Linked DNA regions of Xenopus tropicalis. The protein of the gene in region 3 binds, or shares a complex with, the protein of the main gene of each other region. Links are inferred from orthologs where the notes say so. Each region holds a gene or a part of one and is shown on either strand. Other genes may lie near its edges.

Evidence for each region. The genes of interacting proteins can lie anywhere in the genome.
Region 1: cwc27 (region 3) and scnm1 share a complex: the UniProt entries of both Homo sapiens proteins name them as parts of the minor spliceosome. The link is inferred for Xenopus tropicalis from reciprocal best matches to the Homo sapiens genes CWC27 and SCNM1.
Region 2: the proteins of cwc27 (region 3) and cwc22 are in contact, whole or in part, in a crystal structure (PDB 6YVH), measured with the Homo sapiens proteins. The link is inferred for Xenopus tropicalis from reciprocal best matches to the Homo sapiens genes CWC27 and CWC22. Residues at the interface, in NP_005860.2 of Homo sapiens: Arg381, Glu382, Asp383, Gln384, Thr385, Leu386, Leu388, Leu389, Phe392, Lys393, Lys395, Leu396, Thr397, Ile400, Glu412, Asp415, Asp416, Glu417, Gly418, Trp419, Met420, Ser421, His422, Val423, Leu424, Gln425, Phe426; in NP_001362958.1 of Homo sapiens: Leu239, Arg242, Lys243, Tyr245, Arg246, Asn248, Asp249, Lys250, His270, Glu271, Val272, Leu275, Glu276, Thr279, Leu280, Leu281, Glu283, Arg284, Thr286, Asp288, Ser289, Val292, Val307, Ser308, Pro309, Arg310, Gly311, Thr367, Met369, Leu372.

What each region holds. Positions count from the first base shown.
Region 1 is NC_030684.2:137,908,305-137,914,571, reverse strand, and holds the start of scnm1 (sodium channel modifier 1), read right to left. Parts: upstream 4,132-6,267; 5' UTR 4,037-4,131; coding exon 3,986-4,036; intron 3,140-3,985; coding exon 3,069-3,139; intron 2,946-3,068; coding exon 2,857-2,945; intron 2,300-2,856; coding exon 2,202-2,299; intron 1,315-2,201; coding exon 1,217-1,314; intron 1,079-1,216; coding exon 942-1,078; intron 718-941; coding exon 585-717; intron 14-584; coding exon 1-13. Other genes in the region: lysmd1 (lysM and putative peptidoglycan-binding domain-containing protein 1), read left to right, coding at 4,547-4,717. UniProt on the Homo sapiens protein: As a component of the minor spliceosome, involved in the splicing of U12-type introns in pre-mRNAs. Plays a role in the regulation of primary cilia length and Hedgehog signaling.
Region 2 is NC_030685.2:63,083,266-63,089,354, forward strand, and holds the start of cwc22 (pre-mRNA-splicing factor CWC22 homolog), read left to right. Parts: upstream 1-1,958; 5' UTR 1,959-2,179; coding exon 2,180-2,206; intron 2,207-5,059; coding exon 5,060-5,124; intron 5,125-6,089. UniProt on the Homo sapiens protein: Required for pre-mRNA splicing as component of the spliceosome. As a component of the minor spliceosome, involved in the splicing of U12-type introns in pre-mRNAs. Promotes exon-junction complex (EJC) assembly.
Region 3 is NC_030677.2:188,217,802-188,223,352, reverse strand, and holds part of cwc27 (spliceosome-associated protein CWC27 homolog), read left to right. Parts: intron 1-1,232; coding exon 1,233-1,376; intron 1,377-1,915; coding exon 1,916-2,014; intron 2,015-3,764; coding exon 3,765-3,871; intron 3,872-5,172; coding exon 5,173-5,242; intron 5,243-5,551. UniProt on the Homo sapiens protein: As part of the spliceosome, plays a role in pre-mRNA splicing. Probable inactive PPIase with no peptidyl-prolyl cis-trans isomerase activity. As a component of the minor spliceosome, involved in the splicing of U12-type introns in pre-mRNAs.

The DNA of each region.
Region 1 (6,267 bases), on a different chromosome or scaffold from region 3:
TAGCCACCCAGAGCTGTGGGGAAGAGACACTGTTACACAGCAAATAATTCCCTCTGCCATTTAACATTTTATTCTTGAACCAACAAATGTATTTGTAGCTGTAATATTGGTGTGTAGGCGCCATCTCAGTGCACTGTGCCTGAGTCTGAGCTTTCAGCCAGCGCTACACATTAGAACTGCTTTCAGCTAACCTATTGTTTCTCCTACTCCCATGTAACTGGGGGAGTCCCAAGCCGGACTTGGATTTCTTACTATTGAGTGCTATTCTGATACCTACTGGGAGCTGCTATCTTGCTCCCTTCCCATTGTTCTGCTGATCGGCTGCTGGGGGTGAGGGAAGGGGGGGATATCACTCCAACTTGCAGCGCAGCAGTAAAGTGTGCCTGAGTCTGAGCTTTCAGAAGGAGCCAGCGCTACACATTAGAACTGCTTTCAGCTAACCTATTGTTTCTCCTACTCCCATGTAACTGGAGGAGTCCCAAGCCGGACTTGGATTTCTTACTATTGAGTGCTATTCTGATACCTACTGGGAGCTGCTATGTTGCCCCAACAGGGGTTAGCAATCCCAGCAAGGTAACTCCTACCTCTTCAGTCGCAGGTAGTGCTCCATAGTCCTCTCCCTCTCTGGGTCTGGAATTTCCTTCTTGACTTTCTCCTCGCCCTTCTTCTTGTGCTGACTGCCGTGCTTTTCTGCCGGGACCTCCTGCTTGGGAATCTCTGGATAGGGGAACGAAGAGAGGCTGAGAATGAATGAGTGCAATTCACAGTAATGCTGGGAGTTGTAGTTTGGCTACATTAGGAGCACAGGTTTGCCCTATATACAGATCAGATTTACTTGTGTATACAGTAGCAGCCTGGCTAAGATTGGTATTGGCTCCCTATAAATAAAGTGTCCAGTTGTCATCTTAATCTCCCAGAATCCTCTCTGGCGAATGGCTCACCTGTAGGGCTGCTGCAGTGTCCACTAGGGGGAGAATGTAGGGAGGCATCAGATGCACTGGGCCCAGACTGGGGATGGTTTAAGCCTGTGGGTAGGCTGGAATGGCAATCATAGACTTTCCTGCTATTGGCTACTGATCTGCAAATGAGAAACAGCAGAGAAATATAATTGTCGATAATATGGTTTGGCCATAAGAACAGAGAAATCCGGGGGCCATTAGCAATGGGTCATTATTATATCAATCATTCACATAATGCTCAGCCCCAACTGATTTACTTGTGAGAGCAGCAGCTGTTGTACGGGGCAGATTTCAGCAGAGCATGCTGGGTAATCTTCCTTGTCTGGACCAGCAAAGGGGCGGGACCTGGTGGACGCTGGCAGATATGAGAGCAAATAAAAAAAAGTTACTCAAAACTATGGCAGCATAGGGATTCCCCTGTACTAAGCACAATTCAGCAGGAACAGCCCCCTAAGTTTGCTCATAGCCTGTACAGAGAGATACCATAAAACTATGGCACATAGGGATTCCCCTGTACTAAGCACAATTCAGCAGGAACAGCCCCCTAAGTTTGCTCATAGCCTGTACAGAGAGATACCATAAAACTATGGCACATAGGGATTCTCCTGTACTAAGCACAATTCAGCAGGAACAGCCCCCTAAGTTTGCTCATAGCCTGTACAGAGAGATACCATAAAACTATGGCAGCATAGGGATTCCCCTGTACTAAGCACAATTCAGCAGGAACAGCCCCCTAAGTTTGCTCATAGCCTGTACAGAGAGATACCATAAAACTATGGCACATAGGGATTCCCCTGTACTAAGCACAATTCAGCAGGAACAGCCCATTAAGTTTGCTCATAGCCTGTACAGAGAGATACCATAAAACTATGGCACATAGGGATTCCCCTGTACTAAGCACAATTCAGCAGGAACAGCCCCCTAAGTTTGCTCATAGCCTGTACAGAGAGATACCATAAAACTATGGCACATAGGGATTCCCCTGTACTAAGCACAATTCAGCAGGAACAGCCCCCTAAGTTTGCTCATAGCCTGTACAGAGAGATACCATAAAACTATGGCACATAGGGATTCCCCTGTACTAAGCGCAATTCAGCAGGAACAACCCCCTAAGTTTGCTCATAGCCTGTACAGAGAGATACCATAAAACTATGGCACATAGGGATTCCCCTGTACTAAGCACAATTCAGCAGGAACAGCCCCCTAATAGCCAATAGCCTGGAGAAAGAGAAATCTGCCCACCTGTTCTCCTGCATCTTCTGCCTGTACAAAATCAAAATGGCGCCTCTTCTGGATCTCATTGTTATGCTCCAGCTTCTTGCCGTAATACCGCTGCTGACCTGTAGGAGAGTTGAGAGGGAGTCAGCGGCCCATTGCACAAATATGTATTATAGACATGTGACCAGTCATTAAAGGGGATGTTCACCTTTGAGTTAACTTTTAGTATGATATAGAGAATATTCTAAGACAATCTGCAATTGGTCTTCATTTTTTATTATTTGCAGTTTTCCGCAGCTATGTGGTTGCTAGGGTTCAAACTACCTTAGCAACCAGGCAGCAGAATGAATGAGAAACTGGTATATGAACAGAAGAGGGCCTGTATAGAAAGATAATGGGGGAGGAGACAGAATAAAACCTGGTATTGGGGCAGAGACCAGTAGCTACAGGCTCCACATTAAAATGGCATACAGGAAATGAAGTCATAACAGGAAGTTAAGTCACAAAGTCAGACAGGAAGTTATAAATACAAAAATAAATAATTAATAAATCAACAGGGGAACATCCCTAGGCAAGTCTTCGGATCCGCAAATGCCAGACAGGACGTTATGTCAGAAATCTGGAGAGGAAATGAAGTCATAAGACAGGAAATGGATCTCTTTTCTAGTCAGTAACTTACCGGCTAAGTGCTTCTTCCCGCTTCTGTGCACAGACAACATATCGATGGTACTGAAGACGGGCCGGTGATGGCACACGGTGCAAGCGTAGCTGTTATATACACAACACAGTTACACAGAGGGATAGGCAGGGGCCCCGGAATATAAGGGTATATAGAAGCAAGCCCTCCCAGGGGCCCACACCGAGGGAACCAATCAGTGGAGAGACCCTTACCTGCCATTTTTAAGAAGCAAAGCCTCATCCTCCGGGATGTAACTGGCCAGCAGATCCGCCACTCGCCTCTTCTGTAGGGAGACAGGAAATGGGATATTAAATTAACCCTTCCCCCTTACAACTGCACCCTACTCTGCCACAGGCACCCTACCCACACCCCAAACCAAAACCACAGACACCTTACCCTTCCCCACCCACAGGCACCCTACTCTTCCTTACCCCCACCCACAGGCACCCTACTCTTCCTTACCCCCACCCACAGGCACCCTACTCTTCCTTACCCCCACCCACACGCACCCTACCCTTCCCTACCCCCACGCGCCCTACCCTTCCCTACCCCCACCCCCAGGCACCCTACCCTTCCCTACCCCCACCCCCAGGCACCCTACCCTTCCCTACCCCCACCCCCAGGCACCCTACTCTTCCTTACCCCCACCCACAGGCACCCTACTCTTCCTTACCCCCACCCACAGGCACCCTACTCTTCCTTACCCCCACGCGCCCTACCCTTCCCTACCCCCACGCGCCCTACCCTTCCCTACCCCCACGCGCCCTACCCTTCCCTACCCCCACCCCCAGGCACCCTACCCTTCCTTACCCCCACCCCCAGGCACCCTACTCTTCCTTACCCCCACCCACAGGCACCCTACCCTTCCCTACCCCCACGCGCCCTACCCTTCCCTACCCCCACCCCCAGGCACCCTACTCTTCCTTACCCCCACCCCCAGGCACCCTACTCTTCCTTACCCCCACCCACAGGCACCCTACCCCACCCACCCACAGACACCCTACCCTTCCCCCCACCCCCAGGCACCCTACCTTTCCCTACCCCACCCTTCCCCCCACCTCTAGACACCATACCCTACCCTTCCCCCCCCAGACACCCTCCCCTCCCCTGTATGGGTATCACCCCGTACCTTTAGAACGTTCAGCTGGCTCAGATCATCCCCATCCCGTTTAAACGACATAGCCCAGCCTGTAGCGCCCCCTTTGAGAGCTGTAACCCTGCGCGGCCACCGTACTCCTTTCTGCGGCCTTACGGGAAATGTAGTTTATTTCCGGAGAGGAGGAGGCGGAGTCCGGGCATTATGGGACTTGTAGTTCCGTGAGAGCCGCGAATCCTGGGGCAGAGCCTGTGCTGCACTACTGCTCCCGGCATGCCTTGCTCCTGTCACCCCTGCCCAGCAGTGAGCTGTGTATTATTGGGTACTTGCCTGTGCTGGGCAGCTGGAAGGGCTGTGGGTCTGTGCTGGGGGTATTGGGGCAGCTTTTAGCCCAGCCCAACCCCCTTGGGCAAACCCCTGTCAGTGCTGTCATGTGATACTAATGAATTCTCCCTTTTTCTTTCAGTCTGATTGAATTAGTAGCCCAGCATGTGACTGAGGGCTGCAGGGACTCCATCTCTGCCTCCACTTCTGCCTCCACCTCTGCCCAGTCAGACAATGTATAGTTAACTTGCCCTTTAGAGCTCACAAGCCATGGCATCCAACTCTGGGCACAGAGACTCTGGGCTTCTCCATGGAACCAGGACCCGTTCCTATGGCAGCCTAGTCCAGTCGCCCTATTCACCGGCCCGGATCCGCAAACTGGAGCACCAGGTCCAGCCCGGGGACACACTGCAGGGCTTGGCACTCAGATACGGCGTCACGGTGAGTACGGTACCTTCCTATTATAGGGTGTAGGGTGCTGGGAGTTGCAGTTTAGCAACAGCTGGAGACCCCTTGTGTATAACTGGTAATATCTAACAGCTGTTAGTCTCATATGCCCTTTGTACAGTTCTCTACTCCCCCCCCCAGGGGACATGCCTTACCTGCCCCACCCTAGAACCAACCCCCCAGGATGTTATCAGGAAGGCATTGGGTTCAGATACAGCCGGTGGGCCTGATAAACATGAAGGGAAATGAAAATATGGTGAATTTGGTGCACGACACTGTCAGGGCACATTCAGTCCTTATACAAAGTCTCCATTCTCTGGGTATCCGGGATCAGGCTGCATCCTGGTTCTCTTCCTATCTCTCTAACCGCTCCTTCTCTGTCGCTCTTACTAACCAATCCCCTACCCCGGTTCTGCTTAGTGTGGGGGCTCAGCTCAGTGTGGGGGTTCAGCTCAGTGTGGGGCCCTTTGCTTGGCCCTTTGCTGTTCTCCCTGTACACTCTCTCTTTAGGAGACCTTATTTCTTCTTTTGGTCTTAAATATCACTTCTCCTCCTTTCACCATGACTATTGATGGCATGACCGTTAACCCTGTTAATTCTGCACGCTGCCTTGGGGTTATCTGCCATTTTTCCTCTGCAATATTGCCAAGATACGCCCCTTTCTTTCACAAGTAACAGCTAAAACACTAATCCATGCCCTTATCCTTTCTCGCTTAGATTACTGCAATCTCCTACTAACCAGCCTCCCAGACTCCCACCTCTCTTCCCTACAATCTGTCTTCAAAGAGGGAAGCTCTGCCGGGTACATGGGTAGAGTCATTAGCAGTGGGCAAGGCTGGCAGGGTACTGGGTACATGGGCAGAGGGATTAGCAGTGGGTAAGGCTGGCAGGGTACTGGGTACATGGGCAGAGGGATTAGCAGTGGGTAAGGCTGGCAGGGTACTGGGTACATGGGCAGAGGGATTAGTAGTGGGTAAGGTTGGCAGGGTACATGGGCAGAGGGATTAGCAGTGGGTAAGGCTGGCAGGGTACTGGGTACATGGGCAGAGGGATTAGCAGTGGGTAAGGCTGGCAGGGTACATGGGTAGAGGGATTAGCAGTGGGTAAGGCTGGCAGGGTACTGGGTACATGGGCAGAGGGATTAGCAGTGGGTAAGGCTGGCAGGGTACATGGGCAGAGGGATTAGCAGTGGGTAAGGCTGGCAGGGTACTGGGTACATGGGCAGGGGGATTAGCAGTGGGTAAGGCTGGCAGGGTACTGGGTACATCCCCAGCTAAGCTAAGGGCAGCCTTGCTGAGTGACCCCTCCTGGGGAAGTTGCAGGGAAACTAGACGCACCCTGCGCAGCCGACAGTCGGCCGGGATGTGGCCAGAGATTGAGAAATCCCTCTTTCCGAGCCACCACTTCCCCTTTACACAACTGCACTGCAGGAAATTCCCACGAAATGCCCATAGAAGAAATGGCAAATGGTCCAATTGTCACTCTTTGTCAATGTATTCGGGGGGGTCAATTGGACCAATCACAAAATAAATGCCATTTGTCTC
Region 2 (6,089 bases), on a different chromosome or scaffold from region 3:
TCCACCTAACTTTCTCATAATTTAGATGGGCAAATGAGGCGCACTGATGGCCTAGTATTCCCTAATCTTAACACCTACCCTATGGCCCTCAAGCACACACTACACAGTGAAAGTACATTATCTGGGATAGCAGTATGAATACAGTGCCTACTTTGTGTTTTATGACCCAGAACCCATAGCTTTATTATCAGGCAATTGTTGTTGGGGGAGAACGGGACAGCTTTTCCTATTCCCCCCGGTGCGGGGCCCTATTAGGCCCAATTGGCCTAAGGCTGGTCCTGTATATATACAAATTTTTGATTGTTATAAGTATGATTGGAAAAATTTCTGATGGGTGTAAATTGTGTGAAAATTTGTATTGTGTTCGTACGAAAATATTGTGGTTGCGAACCAAAAGTTATTCAATTTTCGTATCCAAACGATCGTAAATGGCGCGTAAACCTTTCTGACTTTGAAACTTCAGTGCATGATTCGGAAAACTTCCATAGGACTCAATGGCACTCTGCAGCTCCAACTTGGCCAAAAGAAAGTCACGATACCCAAGCTTGAATGAATTCCGAAATGTTTGTAATCATTGCGAAAAATATGACTTTTGCATAAAAATTTATGCAAAACCCGAATAAGTCGCGTAATTGTACCGATATTTTCGTGGTCATTACAAAAAGTTCTAAACTTTACAACAATACAAATTTTTTTGCAATCGTGGTCATCGTGCTTCGATAAATGTGCCCCTATGGGGCTGATTCATCAAAGCATGAGTTCAAATCTCGAAATGGGTATAATTCAGATTAGATACAATAATTTCTCATGATCGGAAATGTCACGAAAATGCTTACGAAAAAATCGTATTAGTCACGATAATATTGTATCGGCGATCCGAAAGTGACTAAATTTTCATATCCGAATGATTGTAAATGGCTTTGATCCTTCTGTGCATGATTTTGGAAGCCTCTCATAGGACTCAATGGCACTCTGCAGCTCCAACCTGGCCCAAGGAAAGCCTCCCATAGGGCTCAATGGCACTCTGCAGCTCCAACCTGGCCTAAGGAAAGCCTCCCATAGGGCTCAATGGCACTCTGCAGCTCCAACCTGGCCCAAGGAAAGTCTCCCATAGGGCTCAATGGCACTCTGCAGCTCCAACCTGGCCCAAGGAAAGTCTCCCATAGGGCTCAATGGCACTCTGCAGCTCCAACCCGGCCCAAGGAAAGTCTCCCATAGGGCTCAATGGCACTCTGCAGCTCCAACCCGGCCCAAGGAAAGTCTCCCATAGGGCTCAATGGCACTCTGCAGCTCCAACCCGGCCCAAGGAAAGTCTCCCATAGGGCTTAATGGCACTCTGCAGCTCCAACCTGGCCCAAGGAAAGTCATGATACCGAAGCTTGAATGAATCCGAAACTTTCGTACTCGTTACGACAAATACGATTTTGTGGCACAAATTGTTGCAAAGTACGAAAAAGTCGCAAAAAATACGCGCAGTACAAAAACTATTCGGAAGCAATCGTACTTTGATAAATGTACCCGTGTGTGTTTCACATCATGTTACAGAAGCCCTAAAAAAAAAGTGTGTATGATGTGGAAAGTGTCCGTTCCTTGGTGACAGGCTGCCGTCAGTAATCAGACTACTATTTAGCAGGGCCCTCACCCCAGGGAATTTCCTGCACCAAGTAAAATAGAAACTCAACAAAGAATGGACATGAAAATACTGCAGTTACCACTTATTTTTTAACAATGGGTATTGGAAAGAGCTTTCTCTTATTAAACAAAAAATATTTAGCGGTTTAAAGTCCCTTTAATTTTAAATACACTGGTACCTAGGAAGAAGGGCCTATTTGTGTAAATGATTAAATGTAAAGGACTGCAATATAGCTACACCGCTTATTACAGCCAACGCTGCTATTTTAGCTTCTCCTTGCGACTCTTAGTCCCGTTTGTCCTGTCTCGGCTCCCGTACATATCACTGTGCGCTGGCTAGAATAGAGAATGCTGGGAAACCGGAAGTGTATTATGTCGTGCAGTGTGAGCGGTATTGTAAATAGAACACTGTGCGTTTAATCCAATAAGCGGGATTGTTCTTTATGTAATTTGATTTGGGTGGCGGTGACCAACAAGCGGTTGTTTATTCTAAGTCTTTACATTTTCCGATCTCCCCGAGAAGCTTTGGAGGGGGCAGCTTGGTATCATGAAGAGTAGCGTGGCCCAAGTCAAAGTAAGTTTTCTGCTTACATTTACCTTATGGTTACAGAGTGGCTTTATCCTGGACTTTCAGCTTGAGATCCTATAGCGAATGGAAAATTACAACTTGCAGTAACCTCTAACGCTGAGGATCAAGGGAGCTATAGTTCAGCAACTTATGTGGGGCACTCAGCCCAATGCCTTGAGGGTCATAACATTTGAGTTCGGGATATTTAGTCCAAACTATGCCGGAACTAAATTCCCAGAGGATCATTATCTTCCTTATGACAGGGAACTGGTTGACGTCTCTACAGTTAATAAAGGTGGAAAAATTGTATAAAAAAAAAGACAGAGGGGGGGGGGGTCAAAGCTCCATGTTTTTTTTCTGCCCACAGTGCCCCATGCCATTAATGTATTATTTACTTATATAGCACAGGCATTCCTCTGCGCTTGACATATAATGCAGTATTCACATTAGTCACTGCCCCAGAGAAGCTTACAATCTAAGGTCCCTATCAATTCATGCCTAATAATTTTATCGAGACCCCGTTAACCTGCTGTATGTTCTTGGAGTGTGGGAGGGAACCAAACTACCCATGCATAAACGGGGAAACATTTTATTTATTACCCAAGTAAGTCCCTTTACAGAGCACTTACTCCCCAGGGTTTCTTCTCTCTGCATAAATCTAGCGCTTGCAGAGCGGGTCCTGATGCAGGCAGTGCCTCCTGACACACCATACATTATGCCTCTGATTGACATTAAAGGAGAATGCAAGTCAAAATTTAAAAAGCATACTGCCCAGTAGTCCTATTGTTTAGTAAAAACGCCACACTTTTGGCTCACCTAATCAAATATTTACTTGGTTACACTTACTCATATTTTCTAGAACAGGCAGCCATCCCTATTTCCCCTTCCTTTCCCTCCTTGCATCATACTGCACATGTGTTTCATTCCCTCCCCCCCCCCGGCAGATCCACTTCTGATTGGCTGGTGGGCATGTGTAGCTCAGAACAGGAGACAGGATCAAGTTACACACATGCTCAGAGAATAGGAAGGCTGCCGCTGGCACCTACAGGAAGGGGAGAGAGATTTTAGTGATGTCACTATAGTCTTCACACTGCTGTAGGCTGCCGAATCCCAAAATACTGGCATCCCTAGTAAAGGCTAAATGACTCTGAAACCACAGAAAATCAACAATGTGTATCACTTTCATTGTATACTTCATCTTGGGAGTTAATTTAAGGGCCTTTAAGTCAGAGCAGGATGTTCTATGTGACTTGCCAGCTTTTGTTGAGTTACACCTGCCAGCAGCAGCAGCAGATTCTGGTTTCAAAAACTGCTGGGCCTTGTGTTAGAGATTATTTATTATGAGTTTGTTTACACAGGGAAGTTTGTCATACAACAGCAGCCTGCAGCTTTTACAAGAGGCACCAGGCAAGCACAGTATTCAAATGTAATACTAAGCAACGTTCCAATATACATTCATTAAAATGTGTCAGTGATGTTACTGTTTTTATGTAAATGTATTTGCTATTAAAATCAGTAACTGTTTGGCTGGTGCATCCTATTCACTCCTGGCTCTGACTCCCAAAACAATGTTGCAAGCCACCTGATTTACAGAACTGAAGGAGACCTGACAAATTGTTATAAGAGTCAGAAAACAGAAAGAGGTAAAAAACTTGCTTCTTGCTTCCTTTCCAAATAACGTTTTAATGATAAAACCCATGAAAATGATACATTTATGCTTCAATGTTGCCTGTTATTGCATTTTCTTAGTGCAAAAAATGATACTTTTTGGCTGGAGATAACTCTGGTCAGGTTATCTGCCATTTTCTGGAATAAAAATGGCAAATACATCGGTCACAAACAGATATATGTATTTAGAATCTTGACGTAATATAAAATATACAGGTATTGAAGAGCAGGGCCACTATTGGAGAGTGTAGGGATTCTGTAGATGAAGACCCGAGATAGAAAGAAGCAATCTATAGCTCACAAAAAGAGTAGAAGTTTATAACTAGTTGGCAGGCTTTGGGACAGACTAGTGGCTTGGCTGTGCATGTGAAGGGATTCTCTTCTACTCCCTGAGCAATAGACAGAAGGGCAGACACAAGTTATATGCACAGAGATACCCCTTGAATTTGGTGGTTGCAGCAGAACAACATCTGATGTACAGGTATGGGACCCTTTTATCCAGAATGCTCAGGATCTGGGGTTTTCTTGATAAAGGATATTTCTGTAATTTGGATCTCCATACCCTTAAAGGGGAAGTAAGCCTTTTATCTTAAAAGCCCCTAAAATGACTTTGTCTGTTGCAGACTCTGTATCACAAACAGCTCAACCTCAGCTCTCTCAGATACTTCCTAATCTTAGGTTGAGCTTCTTGTGATACAGAATCTGCATCGGACTGAGTGCAGAAAGAAAGGGATGTTATACTGGGGCTGTATAGAGTCTTATTTAGAGAGAGAGGGGGAAAAAAAAGGTTTACTTATTTTTTGTATGCTAATAATCATTTAAATGTTAAATAAACGCAATAGGATTGTTTTGCCTCCAATAAGGGGTAATTATATCTTAGGTGGAATCAAGTACAAAGTACTGTTTTATTATTACAGAGAAAAAGGGAATCATTTTTAAAAATTTAAATTATTTCATTAAAACCGGCCATTCCCCTAATTCAATGCTATCCGGATAATGGGTTTTTAAATTATGAATCCTATACCTGTATTGTTTTCCACATTTCATGACAAGTTTAAGTACAATGTATCAACAATGTACAATGTATCATTTCTGGCCTTCCTGCATTGGGACTGTTCATAGCTCTTGTTTATAAGGGACTAGTTTGTTGTGCTTGTATTTCGAATGTAATATTCTTTCTGAATTTTTCAGGGTGCTAATTATGACAAAGTAGATACTCGTAGCTCTTCTGAAAGAAGTTCCTCATCAGAGGACAGGTAAGAATGCAAAGTGCTTGTAACTACTTTTGCTACTCAATTTACAACTGAAATTGAACGTATGGTGTTGGTGAACTCAAATATTGTTTCTAAAATAAGCAGTAGGAACCTTTTTTAAATTATGAAGCAACTTGGGCCTCTAGTGTATTTGGATTTCATCATACATTAAATATCTTTTAAATTAAAAGTGCAAATTCTAAGCAAAAACATCCGTTTTACATATATGAACTAGAGCTGGGCGGTATGACCAAAAATTTATATCACGGTATTTTTCAAAATTATATCGGTGTCACGGTATTTGACGGTATTTTTTTTTCCATGCATGATTAGGCGTTAACCCCATTTCCTAATAAATTAGAGAATAATTACTGCAGTATTTAAAATCAGAGTCAGGCAAGCGAAGGATCGGCAACAGAAAGTCGTAAGGTAAATCAGGCAGGCTTAGTTTCCCAGGCAAGGCCGCAGACAACATGGCACAGGAGGAGGCGCTTGATAGCTTTAAATACCCCCCACGCATGCGCAGAACCGGCGCCGTCAGCGCGTCACGGACGTGCACGCTTTGACATGTACGTGCGCACGCACGCAAGGAGGCGCTCGAGACCAGGCCGCACGGGTGAGTACCCTGACACCCCGGTATTGCGGTATCTGAAAAATAAATATAGTTTTTAAAAAAAAACACCGGTATTCGGTATTAAACGGTATATCGCCCAGCCCTAATATGAACCAATGCAGACATGTATGGGATATTTACAAATGATAATCTTTTGACTCTACAGGGCCACAAAGCCTAAAACTCAGGGTCGTGCCTTAATCCTATTGGCACACATGGCGTATGACACACATCACATATGCAAAAAGACTCAGAGGAACATAATTATTGCCCCTTTTAACTGTAGTAATGCAGAAAATTATTTGTGCTTATTCAGCAAGTTGCCCATAAACTTGCATTCCTTTAAAGGATATTT
Region 3 (5,551 bases):
ATCATTAGTACTTGTGGCCACTGATTTGTGTTTGAGTCTATATCAGGGGTGGGCACACTTTTTGGCTCTCGGGCCACATTTACTCACCCCCGGGCCCGACCGGGCCAGGGCGGGCCCCCTTCTCTGTTTAATTCCGGCACGCCAATGACACCAAGTCTCGCGTGATGAGACTTGGCGTCGGCGGCGGGCCGGATTAAAAAGGCAAAGGGGCCGGATGTGGCCCGCGGGCCTTAGTTTGCCCACCCCTGGTCTATATGCTCCTTTGTTTTACATGAGCGAAAATATGTATTAATCAATAATAAATGGATTGCTGCTTTCTTTTACACCTACAATGCTTCGCTGTAAAGAGTATATTTAAACAGAAATAGGGAGCTCAGTATAAAGGAGCTCCACCTTTGCCCCGACGTGTGCCACTGTGTCTCAGGCTTACAGATAAGGAAGAGTTATATATATTTAAAAATGAAGGGTTTCTGGGAATGGTGTTTTGGCTTCCTTGAATTCCTTCTCCTTAGACAATTTCTCTGAAGAATGAGAAAGTTTATATATTAAAGTAATTGGCCAATATGGGACACTGTTTTTTGTACTCATAAGATATCATCTAAAATTTATAAAAACTTGAAAATAAAAGAGTTAAAAAAAAAAAAAGGATAAATAGAAATTACATTTTCCTAAATTAACATTGACATTGGGGTCACCTTAACTATTTCAAGGGCAACTTCAGTGTTTCAGTAGTACAAAAAGATATGTACAGATGTGACTTATTTTAAGTTGTGTGGTCATTTATTATTATTATTATTATTATTATTATTAAATACACATTTATACTAGGGATGTACTGAATCCACTTTTTCGGATTCGGCCAAATCCTAATTAGCATATGCTAATTACATTCGGAAGGGTTAAATGCAGCATGTGGTGAAAAATTTTCAACTTCCATGTTTACATGACAAAAAGTCACATGATTTTAAAGATTCGGATTCGGTTCAGCCAGGAGCATGGATTCGGCAAAATCCTGCCAAAAAAGGCCGAATCCCAAACCGAATCCTGCATTCGGTGCATCCCTAATGTATACGCTTAAACCTCGATGGTATGTTCCCTCATTTTACATTTCCTGTATATCACTTATCTATTTAATTGTTTTTTGCTTTGTGTTTGTAAAGTTTTTTCTGTCTTTATGAAGCATTCTTAATTTTTTGTTTTTTGTCCTTATTGATTTCATTTTTACTTTCCAGGATGAATTCCATTCACGTCTCCGATTTAATCGCCGAGGATTGGTTGCTATGGCAAACGCTGGACCTCATGATAATGGAAGCCAATTTTTCTTTACTCTTGGCCGTGCCGATGAGCTTAATAACAAGCATACCATCCTTGGAAAGGTTAGATGATGCCCATTGAGGAAGAATTCTCTTAAAACGAGCAATTATATCCAGATGCCAGATGAAAGCCTCTTCTGTCTCCCTCTCCCTTTTTTTCAAGAATGCTTCTATAATGCAATTAACTAATCATTGAGCTTCTTAGTTCCAGTTCGGATTATTCAGAAAATTTCCACATGATGGAAGAAAGTCCTGTACTATTTCTTTCTGTCTTTTTATGGCTCAGATTCATTGTTACCCTTGATTTCTTTCCTATTTTAATTTTTTTTTTCCAATAAATCATCGTTTAACTCTGTACATCAGTTCAGTTGCCCAGTAGCTGTTCCTTTATTAGGTTCAATTATAGATGAGCTGAAACATTGCTTTAGGAACACTATTGGTGATATTATGGATTGTGCGTCCTTGGTATGACTTCACAGTCCTGCTTTTATCATTTTGTTTTCACCTTAGTATTCGCTCTCCTGACTTATCTCAGAGCAACACATGCCAACCGAATCCCAGCTGAAGCTTTCTGAATATAAAACTAAATTGCGTCTTTACAGGTGACTGGCGACACCATATATAATATACTGAGACTAGCAGAGGTTGATATTGGAGAGGATGAGAGACCTGTCAACCCACACAAGATAAAAACCACAGAGGTGCGTTTAATATTTTTTTTTTTACGTTTGCAATGGAAAAATGACTTTTTCAGGGAAGCATGTAAGCAACATGAAAGTTCAGTAAAGTTTATTTTGCTCATCAATTAACATGAGAGAAAATGATTTGGAATTATTTCTTAGGGTGACAGGTTCCCTTTAAGTGTGTGTTTTTCTTTTTCATATTGATGTACCTGCTTTATTTTCATCAGTATTTGCCTTCTTGTGCCATCCTGTTGTGTAGAAAATATGAATATATGTTCTGCTCCTTCTGGTGTCCTTCTGCTGCCTGCAGACTGCTTTTGTCCAAATCTTGAATTTCTGCCTTCATAGAGTAAAGGTATTTAATGGGCATCACAGAAATACAGTACAGGTATGGGGCCTGTTATCTAGAATGCTGGAGACCTGGGGGTTTTCCAGATAAGGGGTCTTTCATTAATTTGGGTCTCCATACCTTGAATCTACTGAAAAAAAATATTTAAACATTAAATAAACCCAATAGGATTGTTTTGCCTCCAATAAGGATTAATTATATTTTAGTTGGGATCAAGTACAAGGTAATGTTTTATTATTACAGAGAAAAAATTAATCATTTTAAAAAATTTGAATAATTATCTTATGGAGTCTATGGGAGATGGCCTTCCTGTAATTCGGAACTTTCTGAATAACGGGTTTCGGGATGACTGATCCCACGCCTGTACTCTAATTTTGCAAGGAAATGCTCCTTGTAAGCCCTATTACAACCACGTTGGGAGGGAGTTTTATGGTGCAAGCAGCCATGCTGGGGCACATTCATGCATGCAATGAGCACAGGCCCCCTAGCTCGATCACTCTGTGCATGTGTTAGATGTAGTATTCGAGGACTCATTAACCAGGTTAATAGTATTGTTACCCCCAGCCAGAGTGTGGGCTCTATTAGATCGCCCCTCTGGTGGGAGAACTTATTTCTCTATGAAAGGGTCATGATATTTATTATCTAGTAATTAAAGGTCACAGCAATTGCTGCCTAATCTTGATAACAAGTCACCATTCATCCAACTATCTAGTAATTTAGTGATATGTAATAATCATCTCCTTGTATGCTGCATATATTTAAGGGGCCATTTACTAACATTCATATTTCTTCTTTTTCGTGTAAAAAAAGCAAATATTTTGCAATTTGTTATGGCATCAAAACCTCAAACGATACAAATTTTAAAATACATAATCTAAAACCTGTTGAGGTCATGTGGAAGTCAATGGTAGTTGTTCTAGGCAAACTGTAACAAGTCATAATTCGTGGCTTTAGATTTTTTTTGGGGGGGGGGGGGGGTTTGACAAAGATTTGCATGAAAACATAAATAGCACGAAAAATGGTGGTTTTCGTGTTTCATCCCCCATTTTAATTGTTTGTGTTTTTTTTTTTTTAATCCGGATCTTTTAATAAATGACTAGACATTTGTGATTTTTAGTGGAAGTAAGTTTATTTGTGCTTCTTAGTGTTATTTGTCCCTCTTAGTGTTTCCTACTCTTTAGCAATGCGATGCTGTCAGTGTATTCTTGACACTAATCATTTCCATTCCTATAAAAATTGATGTATGAGCCATTAGTTCTGGGGAGCAGATGTGTCATGAATGATATTTTTCAAACTTAGCCTCTTTCTTAAATTGAAAAACATTTGCGACTCATTACACTGGAAGGTGACTTTTCTCATATAGATGGATTTTATATCCTATTTCTCAGTTCCAATGAATGTTACTTTTTTTACTCTTAGGTGCTGTTTAATCCTTTTGATGACATAGTTCCAAGAATAATTAAAAAGTCAAAAAAAGAAAAGGAAGAAGAAGAGGAGGCAAAGAAGACCAAAGCAAAAGGAACAAAGTCAGTATATCATCTGTTTATCCTTTTGTGTGCCGTGGAGATGTCATTGTTTTTTTCCTTATCAGTGATTCTGGATCACAACTTTTATCTTTTATCAGCCCCACCACTGGCACCAGTCTCCTACCTTGCCAGCACCCAGAAGCGTTGTGTCCGCCTGGGTGCAGGTACATGTATGGGATATTGGTTCAAAATGTGATTTTTCTCTTTTTTTCGTTTTTGCCGATATGTGCTGTGTGTGCCTGCACCTGGGTGAACACAATGCTTTCTGCTGTGGGCAAGATAGGAGGCTGATGCCAGCGGAGGGATTGACTCTCGGCCTGCATTTTTTTGCAGGTCGAGAATCAGATCCATGTAGTATCAGCGTAAGGCTAGTGCCACACGGAGCATATTCTCTTCGCTCTGCCACTTTAAAATTCTTCAAGTTGTGCCTGCACTTGAAAGCACTGCATCGGCCTGGGCGCACACATACGCGCATCCTATTTCAGTGGGTGCCGCTCGAGAATGCAGTTTCAGGCTGAAATACGCTGCACCTGCCTGCACCCGGAATGAAACAATGCTTTTGGAGCAGGCATATTTTTGAAGCAAAGGGGCAGATTCTCACCATGTGCTTATTCGCAGGCCAAGAATCTGCCCATGTGGCACTAGCCTAAACGAGAAAGTCAGCCTGAAGTAAACATTATTAGAAGTTACACAGTTTGGTTTCACAAGTGATACAAGATAAAATTGGAAGCAAAAATTATACGAGGGAGAAAGTACTGAACACAATATCAAATGGGTTTTGTTTGATTACGTTTAAAATATCCATTTACTTGATAGATCTGAGCTAGAAAGATGAAATTTCCGAGCAATTCAAATTCGTTGTATTATAAAAAGTCAAATCACGCAACATTAATAGACAAATCATTTATAAGTGAATGGTCATTTATCTCATGTTAGCCTTATTAAACATGAATCTCTCACCTCAACCTTTGAAAATGTGCCCCTGGTAGGAAAATGTTATACGGAGATGGGACCTGTTATCCATACCACATAGCTAGCGCAGAGAGCACAATTGCAGTTTTCTGCATGTCTAAATAACTAAAAGAAACAATTTTCTGCATACATGAAAAATTAAAATACTGCTGCTTATTGCCAGCCCTGGGAAATGCCACCTCAGGCAAAGTTCTCATCTTGCCTCATAGCTATAATGGCACTGTAAATGAGAGCATGCAGAAACAGCCAGTGCCCTCATAGTTTGTGTTCAAGAGAAGTTAAATAATTCTATTTATAACTAGTTTGCTTCTGCCTTTTTTTCCTTGTAGGAATTTTAATTTGCTTTCTTTTGGTGAAGAAGCTGAAGAGGATGAGGAAGAGGTTAATGAAGTCAGCAAGGTACATTTTAAATCTGGTTATAATAAGCTGAGCTCTGAGATCAGTCCAGCCAATTAATTTTGTTTTTGAGATACCAACAACCATCTTGTTATATTTAAAAACCCCTCATAATTATTCTGCATGCTTACTCTGTACACATATATTTAAGCAGAAAATGTACTTCACCCAAGATTATTTTGTGTGGGTCATTGGCTTGCCTGGAAACACATGCTACTCCACTTGTCTTGCAATACAATTGCCTACCTGGGACAGGCACGGACTGGTAATCTGGGGGTTCTGGCAAATGCCGAAGGGGCAGCTGTAAAATAC